Drosophila melanogaster: one gene and its partner. The protein of the gene in region 1 interacts with the protein of each later gene in a pairwise test. Each region holds a gene or a part of one and is shown in the gene's direction. Other genes may lie near its edges.

What was found.
Region 2: the proteins of TTLL4A (region 1) and CG15482 interact in a two-hybrid assay, tested with the Drosophila melanogaster proteins (one large-scale study listed by BioGRID).

What each region holds. Positions count from the first base shown.
Region 1 is NT_033779.5:10,987,553-10,992,489, forward strand, and holds the start of TTLL4A (tubulin tyrosine ligase-like 4A), read left to right. Parts: upstream 1-1,848; 5' UTR 1,849-2,038; intron 2,039-2,103; 5' UTR 2,104-2,322; intron 2,323-2,421; 5' UTR 2,422-2,632; coding exon 2,633-3,231; intron 3,232-3,506; coding exon 3,507-4,333; intron 4,334-4,417; coding exon 4,418-4,768; intron 4,769-4,821; coding exon 4,822-4,937. Other genes in the region: CG12253 (uncharacterized protein), read left to right, coding at 283-603, 734-1,430, 1,497-1,615.
Region 2 is NT_033779.5:13,210,029-13,213,624, reverse strand, and holds CG15482 (uncharacterized protein), read left to right. Parts: upstream 1-1,810; 5' UTR 1,811-1,843; coding exon 1,844-2,773; 3' UTR 2,774-2,852; downstream 2,853-3,596. Other genes in the region: kek4 (kekkon 4), read left to right, coding at 1-616, 682-968; Pect (phosphoethanolamine cytidylyltransferase), read right to left, coding at 3,397-3,596.

The sequences.
Region 1 (4,937 bases):
GAGCTTTGATTTCTTTCTGTTCTGTTTTTTTAAAAGTATAGAAATACATAAAAAAAAATTATTTAACTCCAAAAGTACATAACGTGCTTAAAAAAAATAAAAGTATTAATTTACTTACTTACATTTTTTTAATTAACAACATTTAAAAAGATTATTTTTAAAGTGTAAAGTTTCATCATAAAATTTCAATCGTTGCAAGAGCCTTAAATACCGCATGTACGTATGAGGTATTTTCTAATATATACAAAACAGCCACCCTGCTATGCAAGTAAACAAGTGAAAATGGAAGATATACAAAGATTTCAAAGGTCTCTAAAAGACTTTGATTATTTCAAAGACTTTCAATGTTTTCTGAATATCAAACACAATTCTCGAGCGCGGGCAACGCATATAAAGAAAAGGAACCCAAGATTTAATCCATTGACCGATCTAAATGAGCATAAATTTCGACTAAAGTACCGATACACTAAGGAAAACCTTCGCAGAATTATTGAAATTGTACGGGATGACTTGGAAATTGAATATTTTGAGCCGTTAAAGAGGGAGCAAGTTCCAATAGATTTGCAGATTCTATCCGCTATTCGCTTGTGGGGCGGCACAGAGGTACAGTAAACATTTCTGTATGCCAGACTCGCGAATTTGTATGTACATCAAAACCGTGTGAACTGGCTTTCAAAATTGCCCGCCAAAAATGAAAACTAAGATTTGTTACTAAATTTTTTTCTTATTTAAGCACCCCAAATTAACTGCAATGGCCCATGGCGTTAGTTTACGCACTTTGGCAAAAATAACTAGGCGCGTGGCATCTGTCCTATCATCGAAAGCTTCCAGGTATATCCGAATGCCGGCTACTCTATCGGAAAAGGAGCGATCTGGTTCGGCGTTTCAAGCAATTGCCAATATGCCGCAAGTCATTGGTGCTTTACTACAGACAACTGTGAGGTTTCAACCGGAAAACTGTGCCCCTGATCTGGATGGAGAGGAGCTTTTGCCCGCCCTTACCAGCCGGGAGGAGGAACTTCACATTCAGATTGTTTGCGATGCGGCTCATAAGATAAGGGACCTTGATATCCGACTGATCGATGAGCAGTCCATGCTCACCGACACCGAGATGTTCGGTCTGTCCAAAATAAAGGATCGATTCGAACAGAACGAGTTCCGGGGTCGTATTTTGCTGGGCAACGAAATGGTGCGCTGCTCCTCCTCCCTGTTCACACCGGTTCGATTCCCGAGGAACCAATCCGAGGAGCTGTATAACCACGCCCACGCGGTCACCTACGCATCGGCTAGAAAGTGTCTCAATCTGCTGATGAGTCGCTTCGGTATCCTTGCCACCGAAATCCAGGGTTCCCATGGATCTGCAAAGCAAACGATTACGGCGTTGGCCATACTCCACAACATGGCCATGGAGTGGGTCGATCCAAGCATTGGTAAGCTAACTAATGCTATAGATCCTAAAGTGCTCATTGTTTATTGGTTTTCATTTATCTTTTTAGATACGGAACAGAACATTTCACCCTTTAATTCCACTTTCTTCAATTCCATAGGAAGGTCACCAAAATCCGGAGATGACAACAATCGAAGACAATTCATTAAAACCCATTTTGCTTGCTAATAAATAAGAGTTCTTGCAAACAGAACCCATTACGAATACAATTTGTAACTTTCAGTATTAAAATTATTAAAAACAAACCTATGATGTCGATTTTCCTTACGTGTTTTTCCGATTCAAAACCAGGCTAAACGGGTAAAGTGAGCGATTAAAACGGTTTCTTCGGGAAGTCCCCTATCGGCCGAACAGCTGGTGCGTGCGCAATCGGTATCTATCGCGAGGTGGCAGTTTGAGGTGCTCACGCTGCCATCTCCAAACTGTGCACATGGATATTCTGTTCTTCAATAAAACAGTAGTTTAGTTTTTTGTTGTCATAGGCTGTGAAAAGTTTTAGTGAACGTTTAAGAATTTCACGCTTAACTGGAAGCTACCAAATAATCCAATATATTTATTAGACAAAATTGTGCATTTGCTATTAGTTATATTGTAGGTATATTGTGCCTCCGCAATCATTATGATTATAAAGGATGTGTGTTCGATTTGCATTTCAGTTTTTGCCTCCATTTTACATACATTTACACCTGGCGCATTTTTCGTGCTGGCAATGTAATCACACCGAGCTAGCTGACGACAAGTGCCAGTGACCTAGATTTTGGGAGTCCTGCGCTTGGGTAGAGTAACGACACCACCACCGCCACCGCAATCCTGCTCCGTGCCCGTTAATCCTTCCAGCTGCAGCAACAAAGTAAAGGTCACAAATCGCGAGGCAAGTAAGTTTTTGTACATATGACCTGGTTTACGGAGTGGCAGCTACGCTTGGTAGCCCAGGGTGATGGCGGGGTTAATCTATATTGTATATTCACCGCCAGAGTGGCATACTATGCATTCTGGCTTCTCTCTATCTATCCACCAGATATGATTAATCCGCATCCGTAAACTTACGTCCAAATCCGATCAGAAATCATTCACAGCATTTAAAACCTGTTTGTAGGCCTTTTTTTGGGTTAGCGGAGTCAGAGATCACATCGAGCTTAGTACGTACCCCTCAACAGATATATGACTGGGTGACCAGGATCTGACATGCGTAACAACAGCGGCTATCATATCCCAGCTAGCAACAGTCTGAACAACAATGGAGCCCCGGCGTCACGTTACTGCAATGCGGACAATACGTTTTGCTACTATAGCTACGATAACTGCAACCTGATCGCTCCAGCGTGGGGCAATCGCCAGAACCAGAATCAAAATTCAGTGCCCAACCAGAACCATAATCTGCCGACAAAGAGAATTCCCACCAAGCAATCGGCCAGATCAAGCTACCACCAATCGGCGGCCAATTCGGCGCCGGACTCATCACTGTTTACCGATGCATTTGGCCAGCAATCGTTGGTCAACCAGCGGATAGCTGGCAACAAGAGCTGCGAGTACGTCTATCAGACGGTACAGCGATCGGAGGATCAGCATTCCAATAGGCAGTACAAGCAGGCAAGGTCATATGCCGTAGACAAGGAGCAACAGCAGCAGATGTTGTTGCAGCCATCCATCGTATACTTTGATGCGGAGCTAAAGAAACGGAAAGACCGAGGGGGACGTGTGTCCAACGATTATGTGGACAATAGTCCGGACCGATATCGGCCACTCAATTCCCCCTCACCAGAGCCGACCTGGGATAACATACTGTAATTTATGCAAATGCCTTTTTGTTAATTGTCCTGCTTGTTGAAACTACATACCTCCAGTACACGCACACACACACGTATTTTGTTGTTGTTGTGTTCGAGTCTTAAAGTTACAATTTGGAAAACTACAGATAGATACCACACAACACTCTAGTTGCGAGTACATTAACAATATATCCACAGACACTCATTGAACATACATAGATGTGTAAACAATAAACAGTTTCCTTTGTTCCCCATGTTGTAAATAACCGCCTTCCATTCTCGTTTTTCAGCTCGGAACGCCCGGTCCAGTATCAGACGACAAACCAGCACTATCAGCACTATTTTTCGTACTTCTACAACCGTGGAGCGGAGAAACTGTCCAAGCCAACGTTTGCCGCTGCCAATAGCCGCAAAGTGCCAATGAGTAAATTTCAAAAGGCCGGCGCCAGTCGCAGGGATTCGCGAGAAGTCGATGGCACAGTTATCATTGGACGAAGGGACAATTCCGAGGACAGGACCTGGCAGGGTCAAAAGTATGAGAAGCACGTGCTAAAGGAAAAGCTCCCAAGCAATGATTTAAAAGCCGATTACCTAGACAATGGCTGGGGAGGAGACCCTGGAAGCGAAGATGACTACAGGGACATTAAAGATAGCTATGACCCCGTTGTTGTAATTGACAATGGGCTGGAGCAGGTCGGAGTACATCGGCGCTACTGCAGAATGACCGAAAATACGGTCCTGGATGGCTCCGGAGACACGCTTATTAATAACAACAATAATGAATTAAAGATTATGCGTAAGTCGACGGATCAGCCCATGCCACGGTTGCCCATGACGCCAAAGAGGGCCAAAGGTGGGACCGTGTCTACCAAAAAGCCAATGCCCACGGTTCACCGAGTCCTGCTGTACAGCACTCAGAGTCCACGGCTCGGCCGCAAGCAGCAGTTCAGCACCCAGCGGCTAAGTGTAAAGCAGCAGAGCTCCAAGGTACTGGGTGCAGGTGATGAAAGACAGACGGTCTTATTGCTGGAGCCGGAACACAAACAGGAAGATCACCGTAGTGCCATTGACTTCGATCGTAATGACGACTTCGACGAAGATGATGATCTCGACAATTGTAAGAATTGTTAACCTTAGATCTATTTTTTTTAATTAATTGATAATTAACTAATTTGTACTTCATTGTTTAACCAAATAATAGTATCAAATTTCGACGAAAGCGACACGGCGAGTGTTTTGTCAGACACTGAGGACGGTTATCGTGCCCATGCCTTCAAGCTTACCCACTCTGTGGATCGATTTTCATCGCCCCAAAGCACGCCCAGCTTCTTGTCTTCGCAGTCGTCTGAGGATGATCTGAAAAATCCGGATTCCCTTCTGGTTCCCAGTTTGTTTCCCTACGTGCCCCCTTATTTGTCTTTTTCGTCGAACACAAAAAGAGGTCCACGCGTGCCGCCGGATCTTCATCGCGTTTTGAAGTGGCGCATTACAAACATAATGCCAAAGGTAGTTCGTCTGATTCTGGCCAACAGCGGAATGCGAATGCTAAAGAGTGAGTTTCTACATAATAATCAGATATCAATTAATATGTATTTTCGCAAGTAGAAACCAACGACTGGATGGGCGTATGGGGAAAGCATTTAAAGTCACCGTGTTTTAAGGCCATTCGTTCGTATCAGAAAATTAATCACTTGCCCGGTTCATTTCGCATCGGCCGAAAG
Region 2 (3,596 bases), 2.2 Mb from region 1:
GGACATGATGTTTTTGTGTCACGTCTAACGATAGTTAATGCCCGTAAGAGCGATGAGGGCGTCTATACCTGTCTGGCGGAAAATCCCGGTGGCAAGGATTCGGTTCACATAAGTGTGGTGGTGCAAAAGGATATGGAAAGGATTTCCCTCATCGACAGCAACTTCTTTGCAATAGTCTGCCTTATAGCCATGGGTTTTCTCAGCATGTCGATTCTATTTTCGTTGGTAACATGCCTAATATTTAAGAGATTCAAGCAGTTCCATCCCGGCCAGCACACTTATTTGCAACCCACTAGTTTGCCCGTTCAGTCACCTGGCAGTGAAGAAGCCACCGCCATCAGCGCCCTAAGTTCTGGAGTTATAAGGGAAAGTAAAATAGTGCTGGATCCATTAAGTGCTATCAATGAACCATCAAATAAAAATTACACTTTATTTAAAACATCCAATTCGAATGGCAGCGAGTATATGCACACGAGAAATTATAAAGACGTGAGATTAAACAGCAACACATATACTGAAAATCTAGACAATCAGGCGGAATCCATTTCATCGCGGAATCGGGAGCTCTATTCAAATATAGCTGGTGACCGGGAAAAGGAAGAGCTCAAACAGAAAGGCAATAAAATGCCAAATAAAATTAGTGCTCAAATTTTAACTTATTCTTGTTTTTCTCCTACTTAGATGAGCTCGATAAGGATTCCCGGCAGAGTTCCTTGCAATCAACAGGCTGCTCAAGAAAGAAGGGACAAATCGATGAACTCCAACCGGACCTTTTGCCTTCCACTCAACCTACTGCCTTAAAAAATATTAATGAAACTTTCGGTCCATCAGCGAAAAAAGCAGAAGTTAATCCCCGAAGCAAGTACAATACCAATGTGCAAAAGTACCTAAAGGAGAAGTACGGCAGTGTTAGAATAAAGAATATCAGTACTAAAGAACCCATTACTGGTGTTGATATCTCAATATAATATATTAATGTTTTATAATATGGCATTTCCCACCATACACAGCTGCGAATCCACCGTAAACCCCATGCCATTGAAATTTTAGTCTTTGCCAGGATTTCAATTCATATCCAGCCCTACCTCTCTAAGACCTCCAGGAGATAGATGGACAAAGGAGATCCAGTCAAGAAGAAATATACCTCGCCTTATTTCTGGTAGTAAATTATGTATTTTAAAACGTTACTAATATATAAAAATATTTATTTACACAGTTCTAAGTGTTTTAACCCACGCACTTTAAGTGAAAGGAATGTAATAATAAAGTTTTAAGTGATGCCTTTAAATGAAAAATGTGTAGCTTACTTGAATTAATCTTATATTATCATCGAATTCTAAAAAGCATTTTTAGTAAATCGTTTGATTTTATTTACCTGACCCACTTTTACCGTACTCTACGTTCTATCATCCCTGACCTACCCCGAATTCATTCTTGTGTGTGCTACAATTCCCAACTGCTTCTGGCCGTTTGCTCATGGAGACCCTTTTCGTTTTCCGTTTCAAGTTATCGCTTCTCGGCCTTATGGCTAAGATCAAAGTGTAGTATCTGTTCTTATCAGCTTAACATCTGATAGTTCCTCCATTGGAGGACAACAAATGTTAAACTGATTTTTGGAATCAGACGGAGTGCTAGGGGCTTGCTCCACCTCTGTCGCGGGTTGGCCCGGTATTGCAGTACCGCCGGGATTTCGGCCCAACTGAATAATAAATATTTAACTATTATAAAATCAAAAGGATCTACTTGTCAACACAGTAGACTTTCAAAAGTTGCTAGTATCTGTCTATCTGTCTAGTTTCTTATCAAAATTATGTCGTTTTGGCAAGCCTGATTACCTACCACAATGACTGCGCCATTTACCTCGCGTACCAACCAGGCCGCCGATTCCGGCAAAGATCAATCTCCCATCCATGGATTGAGCCGGAATCGAAAGCGTCAGGAGAGGCGAAAGCAGCGCCTGCAGGAAATGCAAGATTTGCTGTACACGAAACACTTTTCCAACTACAGACTGCCGGCATCGGTGGCCGCGCCAGCTCCCGAGGATCAGCTGCTCCTCAAACTGCAGAACTTCGAATCGCTGACCGAGCAGCCGTCCAGCAGCAGGAAGAGCACTGCGACCACATCTAGCGATTCGCCGTGGAGCCGACTGCGCCTGGTGGCATGCCCATGTCACGGATGCCTATGCTCGGTTGACCCCAGCGCTCTGTTGGGTCACTATTTGAGTGACCATCTGCCGGGAATGGGAGTTCCGTTTTATGAACTGGAAATGGGCAAGCGAGTGTCACTAACATGTCATATTAGTAGCCTGGAAAGAGATGTCAACACCCTGCTGGGGGTCTATGGCTATCGGCGCACTGGCCTTAATCCTCTGAAATGTCACCGAAACACCCATCTGCCAGTGGAGTACCGCCGCTTCTCGCAGCATAGCGCCCTTATGATCTTCGCCTGCCGCACCATGCACTCGGTGCTGTGGGAAAGGAAGCGTGTCAAACACGAAGTCCTGGCCATCTGGGTGGCTACTCCTTTGCACGGCGTGGCCATCACTCTGCGCCTGCTGGTCCAACCTGCCAACCTGCCACGTTACTACACCAGACAGATAAAAGCTCGTCCAATGCTGCCACTGTCGTCGAACCAATCCTGCAGTGAGTTCATCAAGACCGACAGCAACGTGATCCTCATCAGCTTGAATGACCTCCGGCCACTAATGGATTTAGATGTTTGGCAGCAATCGCTAACCGTCGAACTGAAAGTGATTAGCGAGGCAAGTATATAAAACTTCCGGTTTTTTTTTTTTTTGGAATTCGCAATATTTTTGGCCATGTATTTAAGTCTAAGATTAAACAAGGAAACATAAAACTTGAACTCGCACTTACTATATGCATTAATAAATTAGGACAAAGTATCAGAGATTACATTTGATAAAAGCAGCTACTTCCTGATCCAGGCATCCTACTTCCGTTGCTGAATATATATACATACAAGTCGTACAAGGCTTTTCAATTCGGCAACAGTTTGGATAACATGCTATTCGTACAATTTTGTTGTTCCTCACACTTACATCGTACTTTAAAGGGAATTTACAAATTTTGAGCTTACATACATAAAATTTAGATTTTAAATATTCTACGTTAATGTGTTAGAAATATATAATTATGTGTATAACCTTATATCATTAAGGCGCATGTGCAGATATTCTAAAATTGTACTAGAAATCGAGAGAGCGGTGCGCTGAATCCTCAGGCAGCGTCGCTTCGCTTTTTACGCAACAAAAAATTAAAGCGCCATCATCAGGGGACGACATACTAAACAAGACAAACTAAATAAAACAAACTAAAAGAACGCAACTAGAAAATAAAAAACATCCGTCTAGTGTGAGAGGTCGGAATCTGGTTCCGGCTAGCCGGCCTTTTGGGTCTGTTTTTGGCGTTGAAGTGCCTCAAAGGCTTCGATTTCCTTCTTTTCTTTGGCCTGATTGCGACGCTCATATTCCAGTCGGTGCGAGATGATGCGCTCCACGATGCGCTCCGTGGTCATCTCGTTGCCGGAATCGATCAGCTCAAAGATGGCTCGCGTCTTGGGAACGGCATATGGATCGA